3 linked regions of the Macaca mulatta genome follow. The protein of the gene in region 3 binds, or shares a complex with, the protein of the main gene of each other region. Links are inferred from orthologs where the notes say so. Each region holds a gene or a part of one and is shown on either strand. Other genes may lie near its edges. The genes, in order: CCNF, RB1 and E2F1.

Region 1 (10,036 bases), on a different chromosome or scaffold from region 3:
CTCTCAGCTTTTCTCTCAGCCTCCCTCCCTACCTTCCTCAGAGCCTGTCCTGCTGTAATTAAGACAGACCAGTGCCAGGTTGGCCCAGGTGTGCATGGCCTGCCCTGGGTCTCCAGGGCTTACAGAGGCAGCTCTCAGCCCAGCTAGCTCAGCACAGGGCTCTCCCCCTAACTGCAGTGCACGGAGCAGAGTGGGGCCCACTGGAGAACTTAAGAGGCCCGCTGGGGAACCCAGGTGCGTTTCCTTAGAAAGGGATGCCTGAGTCCCACCTGAGTAGCCTGTGGTCTTGTTGAGACCTGGCTGTGGAAGCAGCCTCAGAATATCTTGCACATCCTTTCCAAAGGCGGCGGCCAGGGAGTGACCACAGTAGTAACCATGACCCGACCAGGTGCCAGCTCTGTGGACGGTCCCCTGCAGGCATCATGTCATTTGATCACACCACCCTCAGGCCCGGCCTGAAGGGGACTGTCCTGGTCATCCCCTTGCTCATGGGCAAGAAGTCTGCAGGGCAGAGGGAAATGCTTACCCAAAGCTTGCGTTCTTCCTTCTCTAGAATCCCCTGCCCAGATAATTTGTCCGTCCAGTGCACTCCCTCCCAGGGCAGGCCATGCTGCCCGATGCACCCTGAGACGCGAGGTGCAGCAAAGCAGCAGCTCTGCAGAACTGCGGGTGGAGTTTGGATGGGTGCATGGGGGTTTCCACACAGATGTGCAGATCCCTTGGAAAGCAGGATAGAGCCAGAAACAGAGAGGAGGGTGCCCATAGGCCAGGGTGGGGCTGGCTCCCATGGTCACATGGAAGAGTGGAGCTTCATGGAGACCATGATTCTAAACTCACACCTGGCCTCCCAGGTGGTAATGACACTGTTCTTCTGAAGGAAGGAGGAAAGAAATATTGACAAGCTTGCTAGCCTAAGTCAGGATGTTACAACATTTAAGTATTTGGATGTGTGGGCTTTCATCCTCTTCCCCAGCTCCTGCAAATTTAGGGCTGCATGTGATCCTATATCCACCCATGAAGTGAACAGCGCCCTACCTCCCACATGGGTAGACTGACTTAGAGGCAGCCAGTAACTTCCCACATCAACAGGCAGGGGAGCCAGGGTTGCACTGGGGCAGAGGTTTTTGCAGTGGGTTCCCAGCAGCAGCAGCACCATCAGGAAACTTGTTAAAAATGTAGGTTATTGGGCCCCATCCAAAACCTACCGAATCAGAAATGCTTGGGGCAAGGCCAGCAATCCTGTTGCAACAAGCCCTATAGCAGGTGTTCTGACCTAGCTCCAGCGTGAGAACCACTGAGCAGAGGCCCCATGGGCGCCAGACCATCGCAATGTCCACATGCAGATGGATGTGGCCACATGCCTTTGTCACGTACACTCTCCTATCCTCTGAGACGGGCTCCATTCAGCGGCCTTTCTCTCTCTGTGGAGCTCACTCTGCCCCTTGCCACAGGCCCCTCAGCTCCCCTCTGAGAAGTGCAGATGCTGGTCTCTGTCTCTTCTCAGCCAGGACTCAGAAAGTATCATGCACGAGCCTTGTCTATGCTTCCTGCACCCCTTGCCCAGAACAACAGCGTCACACACCCATGGTCACCAGCCCACCTTCTTCTCAGTCTTTGTTTCAGGTGACTGCCCCCTGTGATGAAAGCCACTCCCTGGGCTCCCACATCCAGCTGTCATTTCTCCCATGCCCCTCTCTGCCTCCACTGAAGGCCCACCTTCTCTGAATGTGGGATTTCTCAGGCTCCCAAGCTACTTCACTTTCCCTTACTCTTCCCTGCCCCTCACTACCCATGTCGTTTTCAACTGACACCTCATTCCACCAGGAATTTCCCTGAGCTTCTAACAGTTTAGACTTTTCCAACAAGGTCTCACCTTCCTGAAGCCCAATGGGAAACGGGCCCACACCCTGGAGGAGCCACTCATCACCCCAGGGCAGCCAGTGCAGGGTGCGGGCCGAAAGCAGGCATGGCTGCAATCAAGACAACTCCTGCTCCCTGAAAAAGAAATTTGCCTCTCCATATTGAAAGGAGAGTGATCACTACACAAAGCACAGGATAGAGCTAAACAACAACCTAGGGACCAGGGACGCTGTTCTAGATTCTAGAGGCAGCTGGTGTGGCTAATGTGGTCATGGCCGGTTCTAGTTGATTAATCCCTTCAAGATGCTATGGAAGCTAACCCTGAAAGTGCACCTCTGCCCTAGGGGGAGACAGTGGCAAAGTAGGAAACAGTAACCCAGGAGGACAAAAGTGAGAGGAGGGGATAAGAAATCTGGGAGCTGAGAACATGAGACATCTGGGGAGCAGGACCCAAACTTGCTCAGCCTGTTCTCTCTTCACCCTCCTTCATCCGCTTCCTGATTCCAGGACAGGGAATAGTCCCAACTTCCAGGCCCTCTCTGGGGCCACGGACTCTTCTGCGCCCTGTGCTGTGATCACCTGTTTGCTCTGTCTCTTGCTCCAGGCTGGCTGTAGCCTACACACCAGGGCTCCTGTCTGTGTGCCCAGGGCAGGCCCAGTACTTGAAGGGGTTCTATGGGGACTCAGAAGGATGGAAGGGTGCAGACTGAGGGAAGCGTGAGGGAGGGGTAGGCAGCCTTGGCCCAGGCCCCTGCCTTCCCCAGGAAAAGCCCCTCTGTCCTCCACCAGACACTCAGGAGGCTGCGTGTCTTCCCCTTGACAGCCTGTGCCGTGAAAGGGGTGGGGTATGGCTGATTCCTGAAGGACAGCTCGGATGAGCTCTGCCTAAGACAGGAGTGAGCAGATGTGACAGATCGCACGGCGAGCAGCTACCAGGTAGCAGCCGAGGAGGCGAGACAGGGGGCAGCATCTGGCCAAAGTGAGGGGGAGGGCTTGCCCCGGGGCTGGGGCACTGAGGCGTCCAGGGTGCGCCACGATTCGCGGGAAGAAGGGGTCAGCGTTCCGCGGGGGAGACTTCCAGCGCCAGCTCCGACCTCCTCTTTCCCTACCACGATCCGGGCCAGCATCCCCGCCCAGCAGCGGCTCGGCCACAAACCCAAGGGTCTCCACCTGAAGCAGGCGGCGGAAAGGATGGCCGTGCAGGCTGGGGGTGAGGGTCGCGGACCCAGGACCGACCCCGGGACCCGGGCAGGGCACGGCCTCGTTCTAGAAGCGCCACGTCGGGGCTGTGCCAGGCTGGATCACGGCCGCGACTGCGAGGGACGCCAAGGAGTCCTCTTTCCCCTGGCCGCAGGCATGCGCCTTCGGAGCCCATCGGGCACCGCAGATGCCAGTCGCCGGGGTCAGCGGCGAAGCCCGGACCCATGCGGCCGGGAGAGGACGCCTAGAAACCCCTGCGCGCCGGCCGGGAGCCGCGTTCCTCCAGGACCCCAGCCCCGCTGGGGAGGCGGGGCGGCCACGCGGATTCCACCAGTCAGCGACCAATGTTCGAATTCGCGTCCTGGCGCGGCCAATGGCGGGCGCCCGGAGCAGGCAGTGTGGGCGTGGAGGGCGGTAAATAAGGCGAGCCCGGGGCGGGACGTGGGCGGGGCAGGCGGCGGCCCCCCCGGGCAGGCCAATGGGAGGGCCGGGCGCGTTTGAAAACTGGGGTGGGCGGTGGGGCGGGGTCTGCGCCTGCGCGAGGGCTCCGCGCGCGCTCCAGCCGGGGCGCGGGCGCGCTCGCAGGCGGGCTCAGGCGACAGAGACGCGAGCGCGGCGATGGGGAGCGGTGGCGGTGAGTGGGAGGCGATGCCCGCCGGTTTCTGCCCCACAGCCGTTCTGCCTGCCCTGCGGGGCAGACGGTGGGTCCCGCGGGAGGGGAGGCCCTGGCGGCCTGAGGAGGGCCGGCTCGAGCTCTTTAACCCGGGGCGGGTGTCGCGTCCGGCGCAGGGAGCCCCCGCGGCCGGGCGCGCGGTTTAAATGCCCGGCGGGCGCCCGAGCCCCTCGTCGCCTTCCCTCGGGGCGACGTTTTCCGGCCCTTTGCCGGAGCGGCGATCGGGTCTCGGACGGCGATCGGGTCCCGGGGCGGCGATCGGGTCCCGGGGAGCCAAACACCAGCGCCTCCTGGTCGGGGTTGGGGCTGCGGAGCGCGTGGGGTCGAAGCGATCCCGCGGCCCGGCCCGGCCCTGACTGGGCCTCGGTCCAGCGGGGCCGTGGACCTAGCTCTGTGGAAAGCAGCGTTCGGCCCCGCGCGCGATGAGGCACAGGAAACTCGAGCTGTAGTTTGAGCTATTATCACAGTATCTGTCCGGGAGCCGGAGAATGAGGAATATTTTATGGAGAGCTCTATAGAATCTTTGAGAGTTCGTCGCCCTGGAATACGTTTGGCTTTTGCAGCTCTTTTAATTGCTGACAGGAAGACCCGGGTCGGGAGAGGGGAGCAAGGAGCAATTGCTAGGAAGTCCTGGTGGGGAGGGATTTGGGCCCACAGAGGGGAGTGGCGTTTCCTTTCAGGACTGGAAGAATGGATAGAAAGGTAGATTTGTAGATGGGGAGGCAGGATCCTGAGGTTCCTGTCTGAGGGCTTCTGTTTCTCTATGAAATAAGGGCTAAGGTCATCTGCTTAGAGTGAGGAAGGGGTTGCTGGAGTAGGAGTTAGAAAAGCCGGCTGTGGGAAGAGGAGAGAGCACATCTGAGAAGCATGGCTGGGCTGCCTGCCTGGTGGGTGGAGAGCCCGTCTCACCTTTAACGATTGCACCTGTAGACAGACCTACAGGTCTAGGTTTGTGTTGGGACCTGAGCAACAACCTTGCTGCGTAGCTGTCAACTCTGCATTCTACAGTGGAGGGCACACTGAGACTCTGCAGAGCTGACTTGGACGCACACTACCCCGGCCTCCAAGCCTGTGGCTTCTCTCCAGGGCTGACCCTTCTAATTTGGATTGAAAACCAGACTCTACAAGCCCACAGATCCTTATTGAACATTATGCACCTTGGTCATGTGTGCAAAAAGCAAAGATGTCCAGCAAAGGCCCCAGGGGTTTTCCTAAGAGTGAAATGGAAGGAAAACGGTCATCAGCCTCAGCAGCTTTTTCCCCTTCCTGACTGTCATGTGGGCTCTGGATCAGAAAGTTTCCCAATAGCCAAGTTACATGATATGCGCTATTTGCCATAAATATTTGTTGAATATTTGAAAATGAATGATCTCTTCTGTAATTTGTGCAATGCCACTCCTTTTACATAATCTTTGTTTGGGACAGGAAGCATAGTTCCGTTTTTGTGGCACAGGGAATCGTAACCATTAGATCATTTTCAGGTGTAACTTTTATCCTTTTTTTTTTCCCTTCAAGGGTATGTATATAGAATAATTTTTCGTCTTATCAACACTTCTGTCTTTTTTTCCTTCAGTGGTTCACTGTAGGTGTGCCAAGTGTTTCTGTTATCCTACAAAGCGAAGAATAAGGAGGAGGCCCCGAAACCTGACCATCTTGAGTCTCCCTGAAGATGTGCTCTTTCACATCCTGAAATGGCTTTCTGTAGAGGACATCCTGGCTGTCCGAGCTGTAAGTCCCTGGATGAAAACAGCATGAGCCCTAGCACTGTTACCATCAAGGCCTTGTGTTCTTAACTGTCAGAACAAAACTTTGACTAAAAAGGAGGTCACGGGCAGAGGCCGGGCACGGTGGCTCACACCTGTAATCCCAGCACTTTGAAAGGCCAAGGGGGGGGGGTGGATCACCTGAGGTCAGGAGTTCGAGACCAGCCTGGCCAACTTGGCGAAATCTGTCTCTACTAAAAATACAAAAATTAGGCGTGGTGTCTCATGCCTGTGATCCCAGCTACTAGAGAGGCTGAGGCAGGAAAATGGCTTGAACCATTTTCAAGGTTGAAGCAGTGAGCCAAGATCTCACCACTGCACTCCAGTCTCCAGCCTGGGCAACAGAGCAAGACTCTGTCTCAAAAAAAAAAAAAAAAAAGGGGGCAAAAGGAAACAAGGATGATATCATTACCATTACCATATGCTTTCTTTAAGACATTCTGATTACAGAAATTTCCATTCCTGTCTCCCAGCACACTAAAGTTGCCTCTGTTCATTACAGTGTCAACAGAAAAGTACCTTTTTTTTTCTCTGAGACAGAGTCTCGCTCTGCCGCCCAGGCTGGAGTGTGGTGGCGCAATCTCCACTCACTGCAAGCTCCGCCTCCCGGGTTCATGCCATTCTCCTGCCTCAGCCTCCCGAGTAACTGAGACTACAGGCGCCCGCCGCCACACCCGGCTAATTTTTTGTATTTTTAATAGAGTCAGGGTTTCACCATGTTAGCCAGGATGGTCTCAATCTCCTGACCTTGTGATCCGCCCACCTCGGCCTTCCAAAGTGCTGGGATTACAGGCGTAAACCACCATATCCGGCCAAAAGTACCCTTTTATGGCAGTGAAATTTGCATCCCTTAAAAGATAGTGTTTAAAAGAATAAGAAGGCCAGGCGCGGTGGCTCAAGCCTGTAATCCCAGCACTTTGGGAGGCCGAGACGGGTGGATCACAAGGTCAGGAGATCGAGACCATCCTGGCTAACACCGTGAAACCCCGTCTCTACTAAAAATACAAAAAACTAGCCGGGCGAGGTGGCGGGCGCCTGTAGTCCCAGCTACTCCGGAGGCTGAGGCAGGAGAATGGCCTAAACCCGGGAGGCGGAGCTTGCAGTGAGCTGAGATCCGGCCACTGCACTCCAGCCCGGGCTACAGAGCAAGACTCCGTCTCAAAAAAAAAAAAAAAAAAAAAAGAATAAGAATATATTCTTGAGGACAAATCCCATGTAACATTTAACACTTAAATGAACTCTAGGAGTTATTTTCTAGATATTGGAACCATAGGCTTACTTTGAGTGACTTAACCTAGAGTATACAGTGGATTCATGGGAAAATACCAGCAACAACCCATTTTCTGACTCCCAAAGTCACCTCCATTGCAGGTGTGACGCACTTTATGGACCCCAGGGAGTTCTGAATTTCCAGTGGCAGTGGAAACTTTGGTGCTTAAAATGCTCAACTGTGCTCCAGGTCCTGGCCTGGACACTTCCTGCGCTGGCCCAGCGCAGAGGTTCCAGGTTCTACCTGAGACCTCCATCACGGGTGGTGTTCTTTGCCCTGAGTCCCTGTGACCTGTTTCCACACTCCCACTAGCAAGGCCTCCAGTGGGGAAGCAGAAAACACATTTCCGTCCTGCCTGCCCCCGTTTAGAGTGTTTCCCCTGTCTTTGGGGGTGACACCTTTGCAGGGATGTGGAACCGTCTTTCTCAGCCTAGGTGTTTGTTTCCTCCTTCCAAGATCATTGTCCTCTGCCCTGCTTTAGAACCTCAGAGAAACTCGTTTCTGGGCTGTTTTATCTGTTCAAAGCGACAGTTACTTTCACACAGAGATTGGGGACCTCGACTACTTGGGATGGGGAGGGAGACAGGAGACCCTACATCTGTGTCTTGTCCTTAAGAACCTCCAGGCGTGGAGCCTTCGGGTGGTCCCTCCATGACCCAGCCCCGGCCCCTGTTGTTCTGCAGGTACACTCCCAGCTGAAGGACCTGGTGGACAACCACGCCAGTGTGTGGGCATGTGCCAGCTTCCAGGAGCTGTGGCCGTCTCCAGGGAACCTGAAGCTCTTTGAAAGGTATCTCTGCACCCTGAGAATGGCTCGGTCTTCTCCTGTCTTGGCCTCCCTATGTGCCAGTCTGTGTCTCACGGCCTGATTCAGTAATGATTTTCCTGTTGCTATCTCCCATGACATTGCCTCATCCCCTGGGGAGTGACTGAGGGGAGGGTGGCAGACCTCACGCATCAAGCCGCACAAGCCACACGCCTTCCAGCAGGCCGTGCAGTCAGTCATCCCTCACGCCACTGATCCATTCCCACATGACCCAGACATGAGTCCTCTTCCTGTGGAAACTTCACTCAGCCTTCCTTCCCTTTGGTCAAAACCATGTGATTTCTATCCTATAATGTTTCACTCACTGGCTGATCCCACCCCAACCTGCACCCCACACCCTGGCCTCCTGTCCACGTGTGCTCATGGTCCCAGGTACCAGCTGCCCTCAAAACAAACCAAGGAACCACAGTTCGGCAGGGATTTTTCTTTTTTGTTTGTTTGTTTTTTGTTTTGTTTTTTGTTTTTGTTTTTTTCTTGAGACGGAGTCTCGCTCTGTCACCAGACTGGAGTGCAGTGGTACGATCTCGGCTCACTGCAACCACCGACTCCCTGGTTCAAGCGATTCTCCTGTTTCAGCCTCCCGAGTAGCTAGGACTACAGTCACGCGCTACCATGCCCAGCTAATTTTTGTATTTTTAGTAGAGATGGGGTTTCGCCATGTTGGCCAGGATGGTGTCGATCTCCTGATCTCGTGATCTCAGGCGGGGATTTTCTGACAGGGATTCACTGTGGTCCTTGTCCACTTGAGTTGCCAGAACTCCAGATAGACAGCCAACAAGGGCAGGCAGCCGTGTTGCCGGGGCCATGCTTGGGCTGCTTCCAGGGGAAATGTATATATTTCTTATTGAGACATGATCCACACATCACACAGTTCACCCATTTAAAGTGTAGAACTCAGCCGGGTGTGGTGTCACACCTGTATTCCCAGCACTTTGGGAGGCCAAGGCGGGTGGGTCACTTGAGGTCGGGAGTTTGAGACCAGCCTGGCCGACATGGCAAAACCCTGTCTCTATTAAAAATACAAAAATTAGCTGGGTGTGGTGATGGGCGCTTGTAGTCCCAGCTACTCTGGAGGCTAAAGCATGAGAATTGCTTAAACCCAGCAGGTGGAGGTTGTAGTGAGCCGAGATTGTGCCATTGCACTCTAGCCTGGGTGATGGGGTAACACTGTCTCAAAAAAATAATAAAAAAATAAAATGTGGCCAGGCACGGTGGCTCACACCTATAATCCCAGCCCTTTGGGAGACCGAGGCGGGCAGATCATGAGGTCAAGAGTTCGAAACCAGCGTGAGCAACATGGTGAAACCCCGTCTCTACTAAAAATACAAAAATTAGCAGGGTGTGGTGGCACATGCCTCTAATGACAGCTATTCAGGAGGTTGAGGCAGGAGAATCGCTTGAACCCGGGAGGCAGAGGTTGCAGTGAGCTGAGATTGCGCCACTGCACTCCAGCCTGAGCAACAGAGCGAGACTCCGTCTCAAAATAAATAAGTAAATAAATCAATAAAATGTATAACTCATTGGTTTCTAGTATACTGAGAGTTGTACAGACATCACCAGTACTTAACTTTAGAACATTCTCCCTACCCCAAGAAGAAAGCTTGTCCCCATCAGCAGTCACTTCCCATTTTCCTCACAATCCTGGAAACTCTAGACAACCCCTAATTGATTTTATGTCTCTCTGGATTTGCCTTTTGTGAGGATTTCACATGGAATCTTGCAACACGTGGTCTTTTGTGGCCGGCTTATTTCACGGACCCTGATGTTTTCAAGGTTCATCTGTGTCAGAGCATGTAATGGATAATTCATATTTGACTACATGATATTAAGAAATGTTCTGGCCGGGCGCGGTGGCTCAAGCCTGTAATCCCAGCACTTTGGGAGGCCGAGACAGGCGGATCACGAGGTCAGGAGATCGAGACCATCCTGGCTAACACCGTGAAACCCCGTCTCTACTAAAACATACAAAAAACTAGCCGGGCGAGGTGGCGGGCGCCTGTAGTCCCAGCTACTCGGGAGGCTGAGGCAGGAGAATGGCGTGAACCCGGGAGGTGGAGCTTGCAGTGAGCCAAGATCGCGCCACTGTACTCCAGCCTGGGTGACAGAGCGAGACTCCATCTCAAAAAAAAAAAAAAAAAAAGAAATGTTCTAGGGCCAGGCATGATGGCTCAAACCTATAATCCCAGCACTTTGTGAGGTCGAGGCAGGGGGATCGCTTGGGTCTGGAATTCAAGATTAGCCAGGGCAATGTAGCAAGACCCTGTATCTAGAAAAAAAAAATTTTTTTGTTTGACTAGCTGAGCATGGTGGCACATGCCTGTGGTCCTAGCTCCTTGGGAGGCCGGGGTGGGAGAATGGCTTAAGCATAAGAGGTTGAGGCTGCAGTAAACTGTGATCGCACCACTGCACTCCAGCATGGGCAACAGAGCAAGACCCTGTCTCAT
Region 2 (9,936 bases), on a different chromosome or scaffold from region 3:
CGCCCCAGTTCCCCACAAACGCCGGCGGGCCCGGGAGCCTCGCGGACGTGACGCCGCGGGCGGAAGTGACGTTTTCCCGCGGTTGGACGCGGCGCTCAGTTGCCGGGCGGGGGACTGCGCGTCCGGTTTTTCTCAGGGGACGTTGAAATTATTTTTGTAACGGGAGTCAGGAGAGGACGGGGCGTGCCCCGACGTGCGCGCGCTGCGCCCTCCCCGGCTCTCCTCCACAGCTCGCTGGCTCCCGCCTCGGTAAGGCGTCATGCCGCCCAAAACCCCCCGAAAAACGGCCGCCGCCGCCGCCGCCGCTGCCGCGGAACCCCCGGCACCGCCGCCGCCACCCCCTCCTGAGGAGGACCCAGAGCAGGACAGCGGTCCGGAGGACCTGCCTCTGGTCAGGTGAGCGAGCAGAGCCGCCGCCGCCTCACGCGGGAAGGGCGCCCCGTGTGCGTAGGGCTGGCGCCAAGGCTGCTCGGCGGGACGCGTCCTCGCCGGGGGCCGAGTCCCGGCGTGAGGAGACGCCCTCCCTGCCCCCCGCCACCGCGGAGCGTCTGCAGAATGGTGACAGGATTTTGGGGTTGCGGGCGAGGGGTCTTGGCTTTAACTTGACACGTGTCGGGCGGGTGGGTCTAGGGTCCTGAACGAAGTGACAGGTGCAGTTCCCTCTTGTGAGGCTCAGAGGCAGAGGGTCGTTGCGAGCGTCCATCAGACGCAAAAAAATGAAAAATAAAAATACAAAAATGGTGTCTGTGGGAGAGTTCTTCACCGGTTGAGAACTGGAGTACTCCGGTGGTCGTCTGACTTTCAGTTTTGGTCTCACGCGATGCAACAGTTGGGAAGTATTTTCTTCTGGGCGTGCACTGCATCTGAACTCCATTCGTGGGAGAGGCCAACCAGAAAGCCTTGGACAAGAAGCACAGGGTCCTGAGTGTCCATTGCCTGCAGGATACTCGGCTCAGGAGCCTTGCGGCTTCTCCTTAGAACAATAATGCATCGAGGCCTTGGGGACTCAAAGCCATCTGTAGTGATTGATGGAATGTAACTCTTTAGAGGAACTGATACATGGGCAGAACTTTCGTGAGACGTTTACCAGAAGTGCTTGAAAGTTTCTAAACTTTTTTTTTTCTGTTGGATGAACTCTTCTTGCGTGTTAGTCGGCCTCAGCTTGTCTCATTATTACTTCCATTTTGCCTTTTGACTTTGAACCAGCAACGATCCTGGTGTCCCGTCTTTTTGCCTTTGTTTTTGGCACAAAATTAGTGGTTCTGTGCTCAAATGGAAATTTTCGTTTTCCCTTATTAAATGGAATCTAAATTTAAGCAAGTCCATGCGAATGCACTAGAACTTGAAGGGAAGTATTTATTGTATTGCATCATCTTACTTTTCTTGATTGTACTACTTTATGGTTAAATAGCTATGACTGAAAGAGTGTAATTGTCATTATTATTGTCAGCACTGGTTCTACTTTGAGATTACAAGTTCATTGCAGGGGGAATGGGACTTGTTTCTGTTTTTCACTATTTTCTCCCCTATTCTTGCCCATCACCAAATCCTTTCACCCTCACCCATTTCTTTCCACTCGGCAGACACTAACAGAATTAACGGCAGAAAAGATTGAAGTGGGATTTAGGAAATGGCCCGTGGAAGGCTATTAAAAATTTATATATTTAAATGGACTGTCTTATAGGTCAGTTAAAAACCATATTTGTTAAAAAACCAAAACAACAACAACAACAAAAAAATTAAAAACCACGTCTGGGGCATGTTCTGGGAAAAGACATGACTTTAGTTTCTGATTAAATTCTGATGTATCCAATTCTTGCAAATTTCCCTTTGGAAAATGCAGTAATGGCTACTCTAAAGAATTCCATGTTATGCACACAGCTTTAGAAGCATACTCTAATGTAGGGTAACCAGGAATATTGACGTTCTGACCACTGCTTGGAAAAAAGAGGACTGTTTCTTTCATTTTTTAACTCATTATTTTATATATTTTAAGTAATGGAACTATAAAAAAATTCTCTTATAAGTCAGATCCATACAAGATACAGTCTGTTCTTGATTATCCTTACCCACAAAGGGTTTCATTAACATAGACAATTGAACTCTATAAATTAACCAGCAAGGGTAGAACCACTGCCGTGCAGTCTGATGCTGAGCATCTTGCCTGGAGATGGAATCAGGGCTCAGTCCAACTGCACTTCCAGTGACAGATTCCATTCCTAATTTGAGAGTTGAGATCTTATTTCTGTTGCCTTATCTCTGGCCTAAGTAATGTAGCTGGAAGGGAAAGTGTCACTAGGAACAGCATACAACATTCATTGTTGAAATAATCAAAGGTTAATCATGTTTCGAGCTGGGCATGACGGCATGTACCTGTAGTCCATGCTACTCAGGAGGCTGAGGCAGGAGGATTGCTTGAGCTTGGGAGTTGGAGGCCAGCCTGGGCAACAAAGCAAGACCCCAGTCTTTAAAAAAACAAACAAAAAAGTTGACCAGGCATGTTGGCTCACGCCTGTAATGCCAGCACTTTGGGAGGCTAAGGTGGGAAGATCGCTTGAGGCCAGGAGTTTGAGAGGAGCCTGGGCAGCAAAACAAGACACTGTCTCTACAAAAAAATTTAAAAAAAAATTATCCAGTCGCTGTGGCACGCCTGTAAGCACATCTACTTAGGAGGCTGAGGTGGGAGGATCCCTTGAGCCCAGGAGTTTGAGGCTGCAGTCAGCCATGATTTCACCACTGCACCCCAGCCTGGATGACAGAGTGAAACCCTATTTCAAAACAAGAAAAAAAAAAAACAACGAATTATGTTTTGAAGGAGGAATTGGCAATCTAGAATAGTGGTCAAGGGCATGGATTATAGAGTTAGATTGTTAGGCTCACATGGTGGTTTACCTCTTACCGGCTGAGACCTCAGGTAAGTTCTTTAACTTCTCTGATTTGACACACATCTGTAAATGTCTACTTTTACAGATGAGAATACTTATCTAAAAGGGCTGATGTCAGGATTCAGTGAAACCATATGTTTAAGGTACTTTCTACAGGATCATAGTAAATACTCAAGAATTATGAATTATTCTTCGTACTATTCTTATTATTAGATGTCACATAGAAATTAGATGAATGAAAAGGAATTAGCCAACAAGAATTTATTGAATGCTTGTCTTTGTTAAGGAGAAAGGACAAAAATAAGCAGTCACATCATGTAAGATGTGCTAGTAGGGAGGTTATGTGAAACATTGATAAGAGTAGACTACAGCTTAACAAAGTTACTGGTGTTGAATTGTATAATATTATCTATGGGTTTTTATCTTCTTGTTATCTTTGTCCTATTTTCCCAAACAGCTTTAGCTGTTACATTTATTTTCCTTCACAGAAGTGTTTTGCTGCTCTGAAGTATATTTGACTTACCATGCAAGCAAATATTTTTCACTGTGTGGTATCCTTGTTTTGGAATGACCATGAAAAAGATAATCATGTTTAAATTTGAAGTGTAATTTTTTCTATGATAAAATAAGATCTTAAAGTATTTAATAATGTTCTCTTTCACAGTAGTGTTATGTGCAAACTATTGAAACAAGTGTGTACTGAATCAATTTGACTTATAAGTATATGCCAATTATATGATTATTTTCATTTGGTAGGCTTGAGTTTGAAGAAACCGAAGAACCTGATTTTACTGCGTTATGTCAGAAATTAAAGATACCAGATCATGTCAGAGAGAGAGCTTGGTTAACTTGGGAGAAAGTTTCATCTGTGGATGGAGTATTGGTAAGGATTTTCTTAAAATGTTTTGAAATTTTTTTTTCTCATTTTAAAAACAACTTCACATCACTATATAAAAATTGAAAGATAGAAGAATATAAAGACAATAAAAGCTAATAATAATTTCACTACCCAGAGGAAATTTACCTCTGCTAACATTAAACATGTTTGAGGCTGGGCACGGTGGCTCACGCCTGTAATCCTAGCACTGTGGGAGGCCGAGGCAGGCAGATTGCCTGAGCTCAGGAGTTTGAGACCAGCCTGGGCAACATGGTGAAACCCTGTCTCTACTAAAATACAAAAAAAAAATTAGCAGGGTGTGGTGGTGTGCGCCTGTCGTCCCAGCTATTTGGGAGGCTGAGGCAGGAGAATTGCTTGAACCCAGGAGGTGGAGGTTACAGTGAGCGGAGATTGTGCCACTGTACTCCAGCCTGGCAACAGAGCGAGACTCCGTCTCAAAAAAAAAAAAAAAAAGTTTGAAAAAAATCCCTCCATATATGCCTCCCACCAAACTATTTTAAAGCAGGTCTTAGTTATATTTTATTCACTATAATACAAGGACTTTTAAAAAAACACTGCCATACCTTATAAAATAATTTTTATACCTTCTAATATGCAATCAGTGTTCAGATTTCCTGATTGACTCAGAATTAGTTTTGTTAGAATTCAGGATCTTGAAAATATTTTGATATATTCCTTTCATGTTTTTCTTTGCATATGTATAAATGTATATGTTTAATAAAAGCAAATAATTACTAGAGTTTTATATGTACTGGGGCAATAGTATAAGAACTTTACATAGCCGGGCATGGTGGCGTGTGCCTGTAGTCCCAGCTACTTGGGAGGCTGAGGTGGGAGGATCATTTGAACCTGGGACGCGGAGGTTACAGTAAGCCAAGATCGCACCACTGCACTCCAGCCTGGGCAACAGAAGAAGACCCTGTTGCAAAATAAATAAATAAGTAAATAAACAAACAAACAAAAATAAGGCTGGGCGTGGTGGCTCAAACCTGTAATCCCAGCACTTTTCGAGGCTGAGGTGGGTGAGGTCAGGAGTTGAACTCTTGAGGTCAGGAGTTGAAGACCAGCCTGGCCAACATGGTGAAACCCCATCTCTACTAAAAATAAAAAAATTAGCCAGGCATAGTGGCAGATGCCTGTAATCCCAGCTACTTGGGAGGGTGAGGCAGGAGAATCGCTTGAACCCAGGAGGCAGAGCTTGCAGTGAGCTGTGATCATGCCACTGCACTCCAGACTGGGCAACAGAGAAGACTCCATCTCAAAAAAAAAAACACACACACACAAAACAATCAACTTTACAAATCTACAAATAACTCGTTTAAAAACCATTGAGATATGAAATATAAAATCTTTATTTTTACAGATGAAGACACCGAGTAGAGTGAGGTTGAGTAACTTGACCAAGGTCCCTAGGAAATAAGATCTCAAATATAAATTTGAGATTATACATGTAGTTATGTATAGTTACATGTAGTTACACATAGTTTTGCATTTTCCTGTTTTTTTCTCATATGAGCATTTTCTTACGTTATTAAATTTTTTTGTAATATAGTTTCTAGTGATAGTATAATATTTTAGCTATTGGATATATTTTAATTTGTTAACTCTTACTGGATATTTGGGTTTTTTCCAACGTTTTGATGCTATAAAATAATGTAATAAACATTTGTATTCGTAAGACTAATGCCTGGCACAAAGTGAGTCCTTGATAATTTGTTAAATAAATTAATGAATGAATCTCTGATTATTTTATTAGAATAAATTCGTATAAGATGAATTACTAAATCAAAAGCTATGAACATTTTTATGACTCTTGATGATTATTGGTAGATTACACTTCGGACAGATACTTTTAATGAATTTACTTTCTCAAAATAGTAGTATAAAAGTATATATGTTTTTACTGATCTGATTAACACAACAGAATGTGTTTATGTATGTCCCATAAGAAAAGTGTTTAAAACCATTAAATAAAATCTCTGGCAGTAAAAAGGAGAAAACAAGTGTCATAATTTCCAAAGAATTGAACATAGTCTCACATTTCTTATCTAAAAAGAAAGGAATACTGAAGTATCTTGAATGTATGACTTGGGTATTATAATCCCCAGGCATCTAGTGTATATTTTAACTGACTTGGGTACTTCATGTACAAAGCTGTTTTTGTGCATATACAATTAAATGGAATCAGAGCTCCTTCACTTTTCTCTTCCTAAAATACTAGATTTTTGGTGTTCTGAAATTTTGGGATAGCTGATTATAGAGAGTATTAGTGAGTATACATACTGTAGTTTTCAATTTATAAGTGCATTGTGTTCCAAATCTGTTTGTAAGTTTGATATAGTAGTTAGGTTTCCAGCCTAGTTCACATAACTTATTTTTTTTGTACTAAACTATAAAAATAATAGTTTTAACAGTAGAGGCTCTTTTGAGCTTCAGAATTGAATACATATTTAAGCAAATATTACTGCTTTATTACCCTTTTTTCATCCTGGCTTTGTCTCTACCTTCCCTGGGAACTGGCCCAATTTAAATCTTATTTCCTAATGGAGCTCATGATGGGGACTAGGATGTGTGAAATTATTTATGGCTAGGTACTGGAGGAAGGTAAGAAAGGAATTTCTTGTTACTTTTGGGATTTGAGGTATGCTTTTGAAGGGTATAACAGAAGATGATGTCCTGTTGTTGTGTTATAAATCAACAGACTTTTCCTTGAAATATGATTTTAAGTGACAGTTAAGTTTTTGAGGGTTGGCCTGAGAATTTAATGTTCATTTATATAATAATATCTAAGGGAGAATGTGATAGAGTGTGTTCTAAGAGGCACATGTAATGACAGAATGAATATGTTTCCAATGCAGCTATTCTAGTGGCAGTTGTCTGTCTTCTTTGAAACAAGAGGAGGAATATTGTCAAAAAAGGAAGCCCCTTTTTAACAATAGAAAGTAGGTGATGTTTATTGGGATAGAGGATGGGTTAAGAGCAAGGATTAGGAGTCAAACAGATATACCATGTCCTAACTCCATTACCCTGAACATGTTATCTACAATTCTCAAGCCTTAGTTTTCTTATCTGTAAAAGGGACTGACAATAATTTCTGGATCTTGGAGTTATTGTGCAGATTAAATAAATTAATGCATATAAAGCTCTTATTAGAGTCAATGAGTGTGTATATTAGGTCTTGGAAACAGAATAATTTTACTTAAGAAATACCCCAGAAAATTTTATCATTAATGTAATTTTTTTGGAGAATTTAGGATATCAGTATAAAATGGTTATAATTTTAAATGCATTGTTGTGATTTTGATGCAGTATGTTTGTTAAAACTCTTATTTTTAAGTACTTTAGAGTCAGAAAAGTTGTTTATGCATACATGAAAGCATGTATTAATCCCTTTAAAGTTTGTGGTATTTTGTCTAGAAAAATGTTTTTTTTTAAAATAAATATTTAGTGAAGTGTAATAATAAAGATTAACTTTGTTCATAAGGTTAGATTGTGTTCATGCTGCTTATAGCATGTGAATAGGACTTTCCATTAAGAAATTGGCTAAGGTGCTGTTCATATTGTGACTTAAGGTGAATCAGCTGTTAGAATTTTGGTGTACTTTCTGCATCTTCATTGGCAGTGTGGTAGAATGGAAAATGCCTTGGACCTCAAGGCAGAAAACTTTGGTTGTAATTATATTGTAGCTATATGATTTTAGGCAAATTGGTTAATTCTGTGAGTCTCAGTTTGCTAACCTGTAAGGCAGAAATAATGCCTGAATATGAACCTCATAGGCTTTTTGTTATACATACGTATATATGTATATGAAATATATGGGTATACACATATCTCAAAGAGCTTTGGGATATATTGCCCTTGATAGAGCCACTTATTTTTGTGATATGGTGGTTATATTTTAAATAAATACAGTCATGTGTTGTTTAACAATGGGGACACATCTGAGAAATGTGTCATTAGGTGATTTCATTGTTGTGTGAACATCATAGCATGTACTTACACAAACCTGGATGGTATGGCCTATGACACACCTACGTTGTGTGGTATATAGCCTGTTGCTCCTAGTCTGCAAACGTGTACAGCATGTTACTGTACTGAACATTGTAGGCAATTGTAACACAATGGTAAGTATTTGTGTATCTATACATAGAAAAGGTAAAGTAGGTCATCCATATCCTTACTGATTTTCATTCTGTGTATTTTACTAATTATTGAGGGAGAAATATGAAGCTTCCAACTATAATTAGAATGGCCTTTTTAAATTCTGTTTTTTATTAATGTATTTTTTATTTTATTTTATTTTGAGAGAGTCTTGCTCTGTCACCCCGGCTGGAGTGTGTGGCACGATCTTGGCTCACTGCAACCTCCGCCTTCCGGGTTCAAGCGATTCTCCTGCCTCAGCCTCCTGAGTACCTGGGATTATAGGCATATGCCACCATACCCGGCTAATTTTTGTATTTTTAGTAGAGACGGGGTTTCACTGTGTTGGTCAGGCTGGTCTTGAACTCCTGACCTCGTGATCTGCCCTCCTCGGCCTCCCAAAGTGCTGGCATTACAGGCATGAGCCACCACACCTGGCCTTTATTAGTGTATTTTAAAGCTTTATTCTTGGGTGCATACAAGTTTAGAATTTTTATGCCTTCTAGGTAAATTGGTACCTTTATCATTATGCAGTGTGCTTTTTTATCCAAATTTGTATCTTTTGTTCTGCAGTGTCCACATATCCATTCCACTTTTCTTGTGATCACTGTTTACATTATATATCTTTTACCTTCATTTTGATTTTAACCTGTTTATTTTTTATATTTAAATGGATTTTTGTTGTTTTGTAATCAGCATTCATTAAAAATTTTTAGCTGAATACTTTTTACTTTTGTTAGGGTTCCCTGTGTCTCTTCCTTTCATGCTGTGCCACAGATGAGCCATTATTTATATCTTTTCTCTCACTGGAGGTTCCTTTTTTTAGGGGAAACTAATCTGAAATATAAGCAAAGGATATGTTGATATCAAGAAAGGTTATGTTTTTATTCCTTATCTGGCTTGTTCTTGTTGTGAGGGTGGGAGCAATACTCTGCAGCTTTCTGCATTCTAGGAAGAAGTGGAATTTTACATTACCATTTGCTTCCTTTACAGGTTTGCCCTGATATTGTCTATCCATAGGACTAATTAAAACTATGCCAGACTCCTATTTTAAACCTATCCATTCAGTCTCAAGTTATCTTTTTGCATTGCCTCTCACATCTGTCCCTTCCTTTCTCTTACCAGCAGTGCTTGTTTTTTACTGTTTGCTTTGGTTTTAGTTTCCTTTTTATTTTTTTAATTTCAGAAGGTGGAAGCTTATGTCATTGACTTGGGCATTTTTAAATGCATGTTTTAGTGCCTCTTTCTGACTAGTCTCTTGTTTTCTCCATCTCATCCATCCTGTGCCTGAGTTTTAGAAAAGACTGGTTTACAGTTTGCCCCTTTTGCTTTAAAATTTATTTTTCATTGTTACAACCCACTCTCAATAGCCTCCATTGTAACACCCACCCATGCTCCCACCACCATTATGAAGAAGTAAAGTCCAAACTGTCTCAGTGTTTGTAGTTCTCCATAGTCTGTGCTTTAACCTTCCTTCCAGTCTTATTTTTCATTTCCATTGATGGCCCCCAATGCCTGTGTTCTCCTCCCTTAGTATTTATATTCATGCTGTCTCCCCCTTTTTTTGGAATACCCTTCTTTTTTCCTTTAGCCTAAATTCTGTTTTTAAGACGCAGTTAAAGCTTCTTCTTTATGCATGTCTCTTATAAGATATATTATTTTCAGACTTCCCCCCATTCTGTGAGTTGCCTTTTCACTTTCTTGATGATGTCATTTGGAGCGTAGGATTTTAATTTTGATGAAGTCTAGTTTTCTATTTGTTTTTTTTGTTGTTGTTGTTGTTGTTGTTTGGTTGCTTGGGCTTTTCATGCTGTATCTAAGAAGGCCGTGACTAACCCAAGGTCATGATGACTTATTCTATGCTTTCTTCTAAGAGTCATATGATTTTTAGGTCTTACTTGTAAGTCTTGGGTTTTTTTTTTTGTTGTTTTTTTTTTTGAGTTAATTTTTGTGTATGATGTGAGGAAGAGGTCTAACTCCAGTCTATTGAATGTGGATATCCAGTTGTCCCTG
Region 3 (9,465 bases):
CTGAGTAAAATCTCCAAAAAGGTCTCACCTCCATTACCTCACTCTTCCAAGTGCCTCACACAAGGAGCCTGGGACTAAACACTGCAAAGACCCAAGTTCAAGCCTATCAATTAAAGGCTGTGTGACCTTAGGCAACCTGCTTCACCTCTCTAGGCCTCTGCTCCTTTATGAAACAGGGTGAATTCCAATCTAGCTGGTGGTTGTGAGGACAACAGGAGGCCATGAAAAGGAAGTGCCCATCACCGTGCCAGGGTGCTGTGTGAAAGTCAGCCCCTACCTCTAGCCCCTGGCCAAACCACATTCCCGCCACTCTCCATCCTGCCAAACTTGGCTGAGAACAGCACCTCCTCTGGGAAGGACGCCTTGATTGATTCTCCTGTTTTGGGCCTCCAAGATTTGTCTCGACTCTTGACTTCCCACCCAACCTTCCAAGTCTCCCTGGGCCTTCTGGATGCTTCCCACCCTGCCCCACTGTGGGACCCAGGGGAAGCCACACTCACCATTCTTGTCTGCTCTGCGGAAAACCTAGAGGACAAAGGGACATGGGGGGAACTGTGAGTGCTACCCAGGAAGCCAGAGGCCCCCACTCAACCCGACAGGGTCCCAGCTGGCTGGCCTACCCCCTGCCTTGCCTTTCCTCCTGCCCAGCCTGGTCCCAAACCCCCTGCCCAGCTCAGCCCTGCAGGAGCTTTTCCGGCAAGCAGGGCGCAGGAAGAGCACGCAGCGGGTGCCACCTCCACTCACTTCTCCTGCAGGGCCTGGCCTCGTTGGGGGTGCTCCTGGCCAGTTCCCTGCGTCCCCACCTCCCACACCCAGAGTGCAGCCCAAGTTCTATCTAATACCTCAGCCCCTGGCACGGTTCCAGCATGAGGAAGGTTGAGGAAATGGGCCGGCTTGCGGCCCAGGAATCCTGCACAGCCGTCCTAGACCTGAGCCCCGAGCTCTGCTGTGTGGCCATGGTCTATCCCAGCTGCCCTCTCTGAGTTGTTTCCTTGCATGCTGTTGAAGACAGCAGGCAGTGGCTACTCTGTCTCTGCAGGTGTCTGAGTTACCCACTAGCAAATAGATCAGGAGCAGCTGGGGTTAACTCTTTCAGGGCTGGGGCTTCCTATGGGGCTGACAGTGAGGACCTTTGGCAGGCGTGTGTGTACACACACAAGTCCAAGGGGGAGTGGGGGTGGCAGAAGGCAAGGTCAGCAGATTTCATTTATGAAGTGAAGATGAAGAGCAACAGAGGCAAAGAGGAGCAGAGTCAAGACAGGTCCCCATCTCTCTTAGTGACCTGCTCCCAGGTCACCCAAAGCAGCCCAGCAAAGGGGAGACTGGCAGGCCTGGCAAGCAGGGGTGGGCCAAGCCTGGGCTGAGAGCCCCCAGGAACTCCAGGTCCTGAACGCCAACCCCCTCCAAGATCCTGTTTTTTCAGCGTCAGCAGGGCTCAGAAAGACTCTAACCTCTAGCCTAACTCAGAGAAGCTCTGCCACTGGCTGAGGGACACACAGCAAGCCAGGGAGGCCCAGGTGGGGTAGATGGAGATCTTGGGAGCGGGGAGGGGTGCTAAGCTGGGAATGGGGACACCTGGGGTCACCCTGTTGTTCCCCTGCCTCCATGACTGACCTGGGACATATCCCCTCAGGCCTTGGTTTTCCTACCTGGGAAGAGGGAGGGTCAGGTCCCTTCCAGCCAGGGATGTGGTCAAGGTGCTGAGTCACTAGGGGCAGTGGGAAGGGGGCGGGAGACAGCTTTGCCTCCCTCTGGAGTTGGGGCATGAGGGGGCCAGGACAGAGCGTAGCACAGGTGGAGAAAGGGCTCAGGGCCGTGGCTGGTGCCCATGGGGGCTGCAGGGCCACCCGTGGTCCCATGGGAGGGTGACTCTGTGCAATCCTTACCAACTGTAGGACTCTGCTGCCCTGGAGTGGGGCCTGAAGGACTCTGGGGGCGGCACTAGAGTCAGAAGTGAGGGGACCCTTGTGCTTCCAGGCTCCTCTTCCCCAGTCAGCCCAGCCTGCGGCTGCTACAGAGTGGGGTGACGGCTGCTGTGATTGTCGACAGCTCCCCCCCAACACCAGACACACAAGTAGGGTGGGCTGAGGGGTGGGGGGCAGCAGGGGTAGTGACACTGGAGCAGGGACAAGCGGAGACATAGACGAGACAGAGAGACAGAACAGGGGACACAAAGGCAGAGAGGTCAAGAGAAAACAGACAGCAGGGCCAGAGAGAGAGGCAGAGACCCAGAGACAGCGGCGGGGCCCGAACAACCCCAGAGGGTGAGACTAACAGAGACTCGGGCGGGGAGACACCGCGAGCACAGCCCGCGCCCACTCACGTCCTGGAAGAGCGCGTGTCCGGCGGGCCCGGGGTCTGGCGCGAGCTGCGGGTGCCGCGGGGGCTGGGGCGGGGACTGGGGCTGGGGCTGGGGCGCGGGCGGCCGGAGCAGGCACACGGTGAGCAGCCCCACGCACGCCATGGCAACGCCGCCCGCTCGCTGGGGCTCGGCTGCGGTTGCTCCCGACCCTGGACGCCGCGGCGGACTCTGTGGGGCTGGGGGCCGCCCCTTGGCGCCGGCGCCGACGCGCGGGCTCAGGCCCCGCCCCCGCCCCGCCCCCGCGGACGCCGGGTTCCGGGTCTGGAGATTGAGCGCCGGGTTCCCTCGCCTCAAGGTCCAACTCCAGCGTCGCGGGCCTCCGCGCTTCCGCGGCCACGGCGGAGGGGGAGGTGCCCGAGGGTTCCGGTCCGGCGACGGCCTGCCGGGAGCAGAACCTAGGGGCTGCGCGCCCACCCGGAGGGACAGGGTGACCAAGCCAGTGCCGAAGAGTCAGGGTGATACGAGTGGGTAAAACCCACCAGGACTTCACCTTTCGGGGCGTCTGTATCCTCATTTGCAAAAATGGTACCGGTAGACACCCTATGGGATTGTTGGGACTCATTCAGTGTCAAGTGCTTACAACGGGGGCTGGCGCAGAGGAAGCCCACAGGTCCGTGTGGCCGACTCCCAGGCATCCCGACGCCCGCCCTCTCTGGCACTCAGCGCGGCCCTTTCCCCTCCCCTCGGTGGCTTTGGCCCTCCCTTCAACCCGTTCTCCACACAGCAGCCAGGGGGAGCTTTTAAGATGCGAAAGAGGTACCACTTCGGTCTCCAGTGACTCCTTGGCCCCCGAATAAAGCTTAAGACTGAACGCCCCGCTCCAGGAGCACCACTCTGACCCTCACCTCAGGACCGCAGCCACTACTTTCTCCGGTCCTCTATCCCTCTCCCTCCTGCCCACGGCCTTTGCCCGTCGTGTTCGCTTGTTTTCTTCCTCTGGTTAACTCCTACCTATTCTACAGCGCTGAACTCAAGCACTTCCTGATTTTCTCATTTAAGTAGATCTCCTTCAGACCCTGAGAGCACCAAGAAGGGAGGTAACACTCGTGTCCCCAGAACTGCTAAATACCTGACACAGAACCAGTCCACTGTCATTTGTTGCATGTTTACTAATGTCCAGAAACGTCTGGAAGACAGCAAACTGAGCACAGTGGCCTCTGGGGCTGGGAAAAGGAGAGGCCACTCATTACGCTGCACTTCGGGCAGCACTGAGTAGCATTCTTGGCTTTCCACAAAAACCTTTACTGGATCGGCTTTTGAGTTAGGACCAAAATAGCGATGAAGCTGACCTTTCTTCGAGTTCTGAGACTCAAATCAAATCGAGCAGGGACGGAGAGAAGGGAAGCGGAGAATGGGCATTTCCCCAGCAACCTTGGCCTCTCCCGCCCCGAACTGTTCCCAACAGAGTCCCAAAACCCGACCCAAACGTCATCAAAATATTTATTAAAACCAAAGCAGGAGGGAACAGAGCTGTTAGGAAGCAAATCAAAGTGCAGATTGGAGGGTGGGGCAGAGCAGTGGGGAGGCAGGCGCTTCAGACACCGCAGGAGGGACCACAGGGTCTGGGCTGGGGGAGGCCTTCACCACCCCTCCTGCCCACCACATCAGTGAAGGTCCCCCACTCACCTCTCCCATCTCATATCCATCCTGGGGGGCAGCTGGAGCCCTGAACTGGCCCCCTGGAGAGGCCCCACCCCACCATCCGTCCACCCATGGCTGTCAGTCAGTCTGTCTCCCTCCCTCACTTTCCCAATAAATAAATCACCTAGGCCTCAGCTCCTTCGGTGTGGGGCAGAACAGCTCAGGGACCCCTGTCCTTGCTCAAGGGTAGAGGGAGTTGGGGTATCAACCCCACACCCCTCCTCCCCTTTGCTGATTCCCCAGGCTTGCCAAAGAGGCCTCGATAAATAAATAACGCTCCATTAAAGCTTCAATCAGAAAAAAACCTTTAAGACAGAAGTGCTCTCACCGTCCTACAAGCCCAGCCAGCCAAAGCCTCCCCACCTGGCCTGGTCAGAGCACCAGATTCTGGGAGCAGGCACTGCCCTGGGCCTTGTGGGACCCCCAGAGCAAAAGGGCCGAAAGTGCAGTTAGAGCCCCCCCACGCGCACACATGGACTCATGCACACACATGTGGACACACTGGGGCGTGTCTGCAGTGCACACACAGGTGTATGTTCACCTTCATTCCCCGGTACATGCACACACACATGCTCACACACATTCACCCCGGGTACACACGTGTGGGTGTAGGCTGCATGCACATACACACCACAAACACAGACTCCTTCCCTTCCTGGCTTGCTCAGCCTCCTAGCGGTAGCCAGACCCCAGAGCTAGAAGCTTCTGGAGATAGGAGAGAGGGGTATAAATTAAATGTTTCCAATCAGGCTGGGAGGACGGCCAGGGACAGGGGGCTCCAGGGCTGCAGAGACAAGGTGAGCATCTCTGGAAACCCTGGTCCCTCCAAGCCCTGTCAGAAATCCAGGGGGGTGAGGTCCCCAAAGTCACAGTCGAAGAGGTCTCTGATGCCCTCGCCCTCCTCGAGGCCGAAGTGGTAGTCGAGGGCCTCGTGGGGTGGGGAAAGGCTGATGAACTCCTCAGGGAGGAGGCCGGAGAAGTCCTCCCGCACATGCTCCAGGAGCGAGTCGGCCGCCACCAGCGGGGACAGGCGGTCCTCGTCCACGGGAGCCCGCAGGCTGCCCATCCGGGACAACAGCGGTTCTGGAGAGACGGGGAGCATCACAGGCCGGGGATGCCCCAGCAGGAAGGAAGGCAGGGGCTGTCGTGCCTGCCCACCCCCAGAAGAGGGGCCCTGCCCCACCCCACCCACCTACCCATCACCCACCTTGCTCCAGGCTGAGTAGAGACTGGCTGGGATCTGTGGTGAGGGATGAGGGGGGAGATGATGGTGGTGGTGACACTATGGTGGCAGAGTCAGTGGCCCTGTTCTCCTCCTCAGAAGTGGCCTCCTGGGACGGGGTCTTCCCAGGGCTGATCCCACCCACGGTCTCCTCAGGGCACAGGAAAACATCGATGGGGCCTTGTTTGCTCTTAAGGGAGATCTGAAAGGTCTGGGTGGAAACAGCAGGCAGGGTAAACTGAGGCCCAGGTGACTACCAGCACAGCCCAGCCCAGCCCAGTTGGGCCTGGAGTTCCCAGATCTCACCTCCGAAGAGTCCACGGCTTGGAGCTGGGTCTCGGGAGGGGCTTTGATCACCATAACCATCTGCTCTGCAGGGTCTGCAATGCTACGAAGGTCCTGACACGTCACATAGGCCAGGGTTGGCAGAGTCAAGGACCACATGACCTTTGACTTCTAGGGGGTCACTCACTCCAACAGCTTACAAGGCAGGGCTCACACCTGCCTAGTCACTCCTATCCTCCCAACCTCCTACCCGTTCAAAACCTACCTCATTCCTGAGTTTCAAGTTCCACATCTATATAATGGAATCACTCTACCCATTGAATCCCAAGGTAATGATAATAGCTACCGGGAACGATTCCATGTAAAATGTTCAACACAACTCCAGGCCTGGTGCTGGGAATTCATTTTTTTAGAGGCAGGGTCTCGCTATGTCACCGAGGCTGGAGTGATGTAGCTCAACCAGAGCTCACTGCAGCCTCAAACTCCTGGGCTCAAGTGATCCTCCCACCTCAGCCTTCTGAAGCACTAGGATTACAGGCATGAGCCACTGCACCTAGCCACTTTTCTTTTTTAATCTGTACAATTTCAGAATTGGATATTATTATTTCACTTTTATAAATAACACTGAGGCCCAGAGAGGTTAAGCAATTTATCCAGCGTCACAACAGTGAGAAAATGCTGAGCCAGGACTTGCAACCAAAACAACCAGAGCCCTCTCCTGAATCCAAGCCTCTCTAGTCCCACTTGGGTGGAGCCCCTGCCTGCTAAGCCTGCCTTCCACACCCTACGGCCAATCCAAGGATATCGCTGGCTGTCAGTATCCTCGGAGAGCAGGCGCAGCTGCGTAGTACAGATATTCATCAGGTGGTCCAGCTGCTGCTCGCTCTCCTGCAGCTGCCGGAGGTCCTCGGTCAACCCCTCAAGCCGCCCGCTGACGCCCACTGTGGTGTGGCTACCCCTGTGGGGAGGCACCAGGGAGGGTAGGGTTAGCAGCACTTGGCCCCTCTGGCCAGGAGCCCTGGCCCTCAGGACAGAGTCTGCTGCCACCTCTGTTCTGTGAGGCCCAGGCAAGCCCTTGCTTCTCTCTGGGTCTGGTTCCTCAGCTGGGCTCCAAATCAGAGTGTCATGGGCTTGAAGTCTGGCCCAAATATAAACACCTTCATGTCCCTCAACCAGGGTGGGATAAATGATGGAACTGACATGCCACGAAATATTACACACACACACAAGCATTTCCAAGACATGCTGTCAAATGAAAAAAAAGAAAAGGCTGGGCTTGGTGGCTTATAACTATAATCCCAGCACTTTGGGAGGCTGAGGCCAGAGGACTGCTTGAGCCTCAGGAGTTTGAGACCAGCCTGAGCAACACAGTGAGACCCTGCCTCTACACCAAATTAAAGAAATTAGCCAGACATGGTGGCATGTACTTGTAGTCCTAGCTACAGGTACAGGGCTTGAGCCCAGGAGGTTGAGGCTGCAGTAAACTGTATTTGTGCCTCCATACTCCAGCCTGGGCAACAGAGCAACACCCTGTCTCAAACCGCACCCCCACCCCACCAAAAAAAACACAAAAGATGCAGAATGGAACAATCTACCAAAAAATGAAAAGGCAGGTGTTTGTATCAAAGAAAGGGTAGTAGCAGGATGACTGGGGCGAAGGCGGGAGGGGGAAAATAAAACAAGTAAAAGAATAAAACATCTGCCGGGCGCGGTGGCTCAAGCCTGTAATCCCAGCACTTTGGGAGGCTGAGACGGGCGGATCACAAGGTCAGGAGATCGAGACCATCCTGGCTAACACGGTGAAACCCCGTCTCTACTAAAAAATACAAAAAACTAGCCGGGCGAGGTGGCGGGCGCCTGTGGTCCCAGCTACTCCGGAGGCTGAGGCAGGAGAATGGCGTAAACCCGGGAAGGCGGAGCTTGCAGTGAGCTGAGATCCGGCCACTGCACTCCAGCCTGGGCGAAAGAGCCAGACTCAGTCTCAAAAAAAATAAATAAATAAAATAAAACATCTATGCCAGACAGACCTCATGAGGGCATGAGAACCAGGATAGTGGTGACCTGGCGGTATGAAGGCTTGGCAATGACTGGAAAGGGGCACAAGAGAACCTTCTAGGGTGTTGAAAATGCTCCTATCTTGATCTGAATGGTGGCAACCCAGATGAATAAATATGTAAAGCTGCGCCAGGCGTGGTGGCTCACGCCTGTAATCCCAGCACTTTGGGAGGTTGAGGCAGGCAGATCATCTGAGATCAGGAGTTCGAGACCAGACTGGCCAACGTGGTGAAACCCATCTCTACTACAAAATACAAAAATTAGTTGGGCGTGGTGGCAGGCGCCTGGATCCCCAGCTACTAGGGAGGCTGAGGCAGGAAAATCACCTGAACCTGGGAGGTGGAGGTTCAGGTGATCTTAGTGAGCTGAGATCGCACCACTGCACTCCAGCCTGGGTGACAGAGTGAAACTTCATCTAAAAAGAAAAAAGTAGAGGCCGGGCGCGGTGGCTCAAGCCTGTAATCCCAGCACTTTGGGAGGCCGAGATCGGCAGATCACAAGGTCAGGAGATCGAGACCATCCTGGCTAACACGGTGAAACCCCGTCTCTACTAAAAAAATACAAAAAATTAGCCAGGCGTGGTGGCGGGCACCTGTAGTCCCAGCTACTCCGGAGGCTGAGCCAGGAGGATGGCGTGAACCTGGGAGGCGGAGCTTGCAGTGAGCCAAGATCGCGCCACTGCACTCCAGCCTGGGCAACAGAACGAGACTCCTTCTCAAAGAAAAAAAAAAAGAAAAAAGAAAAAAGTAAAGCTACAAGTGAGGTGGATATGTAACATTTGTGTGCTTTTTACCATCTATCATCTCAGGGAAGCTACCTCTCCTCTCTGAGCCCATTTCCCTAGCTGTAAGATGGGGATGCAGGCAGCCACAGTGGGTATTACTACCAGCTCCTCCAGGCTGGCATGGGCAGGTGTGCCTGCCCTCCTGTGTGGCCGGTACCTACAGCCACTGGATGTGGTTCTTGGACTTCTTGGCAATGAGCTGGATGCCCTCGAGGACGTTGGTGATGTCATAGATGCGCCGTTTCTGCACTTTCAGCACCTCAGCAGCCCAGTTCAGGTCGACAACACCGTCGGCCGAGCGGCTCAGCAGCTCCAGGAAGCGCTTGGTGGTCAGATTCAGTGAGGTCTCATAGCGTGACTTCTCCCCCGGGGATTTCACACCTGCGGGGGTGTGGTCAGGCAAGACAGGGCCCTTCAGCATCCACCCCCACCTCCAGCCAGGCCTGCTACTCTGGCAGGGCAGGGCCGCAGGATGATAGGGGCTGGGGGACAGCCAGCTCCTTCCCCTTGGCGAGGCCAACCACAGCATTCTTCTTCTGGCCGGGGAACTCCTCACCCCTCAGGGCCTGGAGAAACCAAGCCAGGTGGCCACTCCCACTGCCCATCAGGGTCCTCAGAGGCCTGGCTCAAGCCCGACAAGCCAGATGTTAGCTTGCAAACTTGTTTGTCTGTTCACACCCCTAACCTGGGCCTGGTCACAGGGGGCCTGCCCAGCCCAAGCTTCATAGTTACCTTTTCCTGGATGGCGGCCTCTGCCCCGAGCTGGCCCACTGCTCTCCGCCAGGTACTGATGGTCAGTTTCCAGGTCCAGCCTCCGCTTCACCTGTGGCGAAAACAATGGGAGGATGCCCAGTAACCAGAAGTGAGGCCAGAAGAGACCTGGCTGAAGGCTGGGTGCCTCTGGACTACCCCCGCCTCAGTTTCTCTAGCAGGATGCCTGAGTGTGTGACTGAGGGAGATCAGAGAAGACACAGCCTGAAAGTCACAGTCCTACTACACAGGACACTCAATTTTCACTTCTCTGGGGTCTAGTGGTGGATTTAAAACACATCTGCAAACTTTTTGATCCTTCTCCTTCAAAAGATGAAGCCTAATTCTCCTCCCCTTTATGAGCTA

Evidence for each region.
Region 1: the proteins of E2F1 (region 3) and CCNF are in contact, whole or in part, in a cryo-EM structure (PDB 9CB3), measured with the Homo sapiens proteins. The link is inferred for Macaca mulatta from reciprocal best matches to the Homo sapiens genes E2F1 and CCNF. Residues at the interface, in NP_005216.1 of Homo sapiens: Gly84, Arg85, Pro87, Val88, Lys89, Arg90, Arg91, Leu92, Asp93, Leu94, Glu95, Thr96; in NP_001752.2 of Homo sapiens: Met309, Ile312, Leu313, Asp315, Trp316, Glu319, Val320, Met323, Arg349, Leu352, Gln353, Trp379, Leu380, Thr381, Asp382, Thr384, Asp504, Tyr505, Val508, Leu510, Thr511.
Region 2: the proteins of E2F1 (region 3) and RB1 are in contact, whole or in part, in a crystal structure (PDB 2AZE), measured with the Homo sapiens proteins. The link is inferred for Macaca mulatta from reciprocal best matches to the Homo sapiens genes E2F1 and RB1. Residues at the interface, in NP_005216.1 of Homo sapiens: Ala267, Pro268, Pro269, Glu270, Thr271, Gln272, Leu273, Gln274, Ala275, Val276, Asp277, Ser279, Glu280, Asn281, Phe282; in NP_000312.2 of Homo sapiens: Ser829, Arg830, Ile831, Leu832, Val833, Ser834, Ile835, Phe845, Ile848, Met851, Val852, Asn854, Ser855, Arg857, Val858, Leu859.

Annotation. Positions count from the first base shown.
Region 1 is NC_133425.1:3,658,694-3,668,729, forward strand, and holds the start of CCNF (cyclin-F), read left to right. Parts: upstream 1-3,647; 5' UTR 3,648-3,678; coding exon of another isoform or gene 3,679-3,694; exon of another isoform or gene 3,695-3,761; intron 3,762-5,306; coding exon of another isoform or gene 5,307-5,461; intron 5,462-7,449; coding exon of another isoform or gene 7,450-7,556; intron 7,557-10,036. UniProt on the Homo sapiens protein: Substrate recognition component of a SCF (SKP1-CUL1-F-box protein) E3 ubiquitin-protein ligase complex which mediates the ubiquitination and subsequent proteasomal degradation of target proteins.
Region 2 is NC_133422.1:27,493,556-27,503,491, forward strand, and holds the start of RB1 (retinoblastoma-associated protein), read left to right. Parts: upstream 1-116; 5' UTR 117-259; coding exon 260-396; intron 397-3,641; coding exon 3,642-3,768; intron 3,769-9,936. UniProt on the Homo sapiens protein: Tumor suppressor that is a key regulator of the G1/S transition of the cell cycle. The hypophosphorylated form binds transcription regulators of the E2F family, preventing transcription of E2F-responsive genes.
Region 3 is NC_133415.1:86,444,158-86,453,622, forward strand, and holds the end of E2F1 (transcription factor E2F1), read right to left. Parts: intron 9,173-9,465; coding exon 9,082-9,172; intron 8,731-9,081; coding exon 8,511-8,730; intron 6,469-8,510; coding exon 6,316-6,468; intron 5,647-6,315; coding exon 5,532-5,646; intron 5,437-5,531; coding exon 5,211-5,436; intron 5,087-5,210; coding exon 4,839-5,086; 3' UTR 3,786-4,838; downstream 1-3,785. Other genes in the region: NECAB3 (N-terminal EF-hand calcium-binding protein 3), read right to left, coding at 501-525, 2,324-2,464. UniProt on the Homo sapiens protein: Transcription activator that binds DNA cooperatively with DP proteins through the E2 recognition site, 5'-TTTC[CG]CGC-3' found in the promoter region of a number of genes whose products are involved in cell cycle regulation or in DNA replication.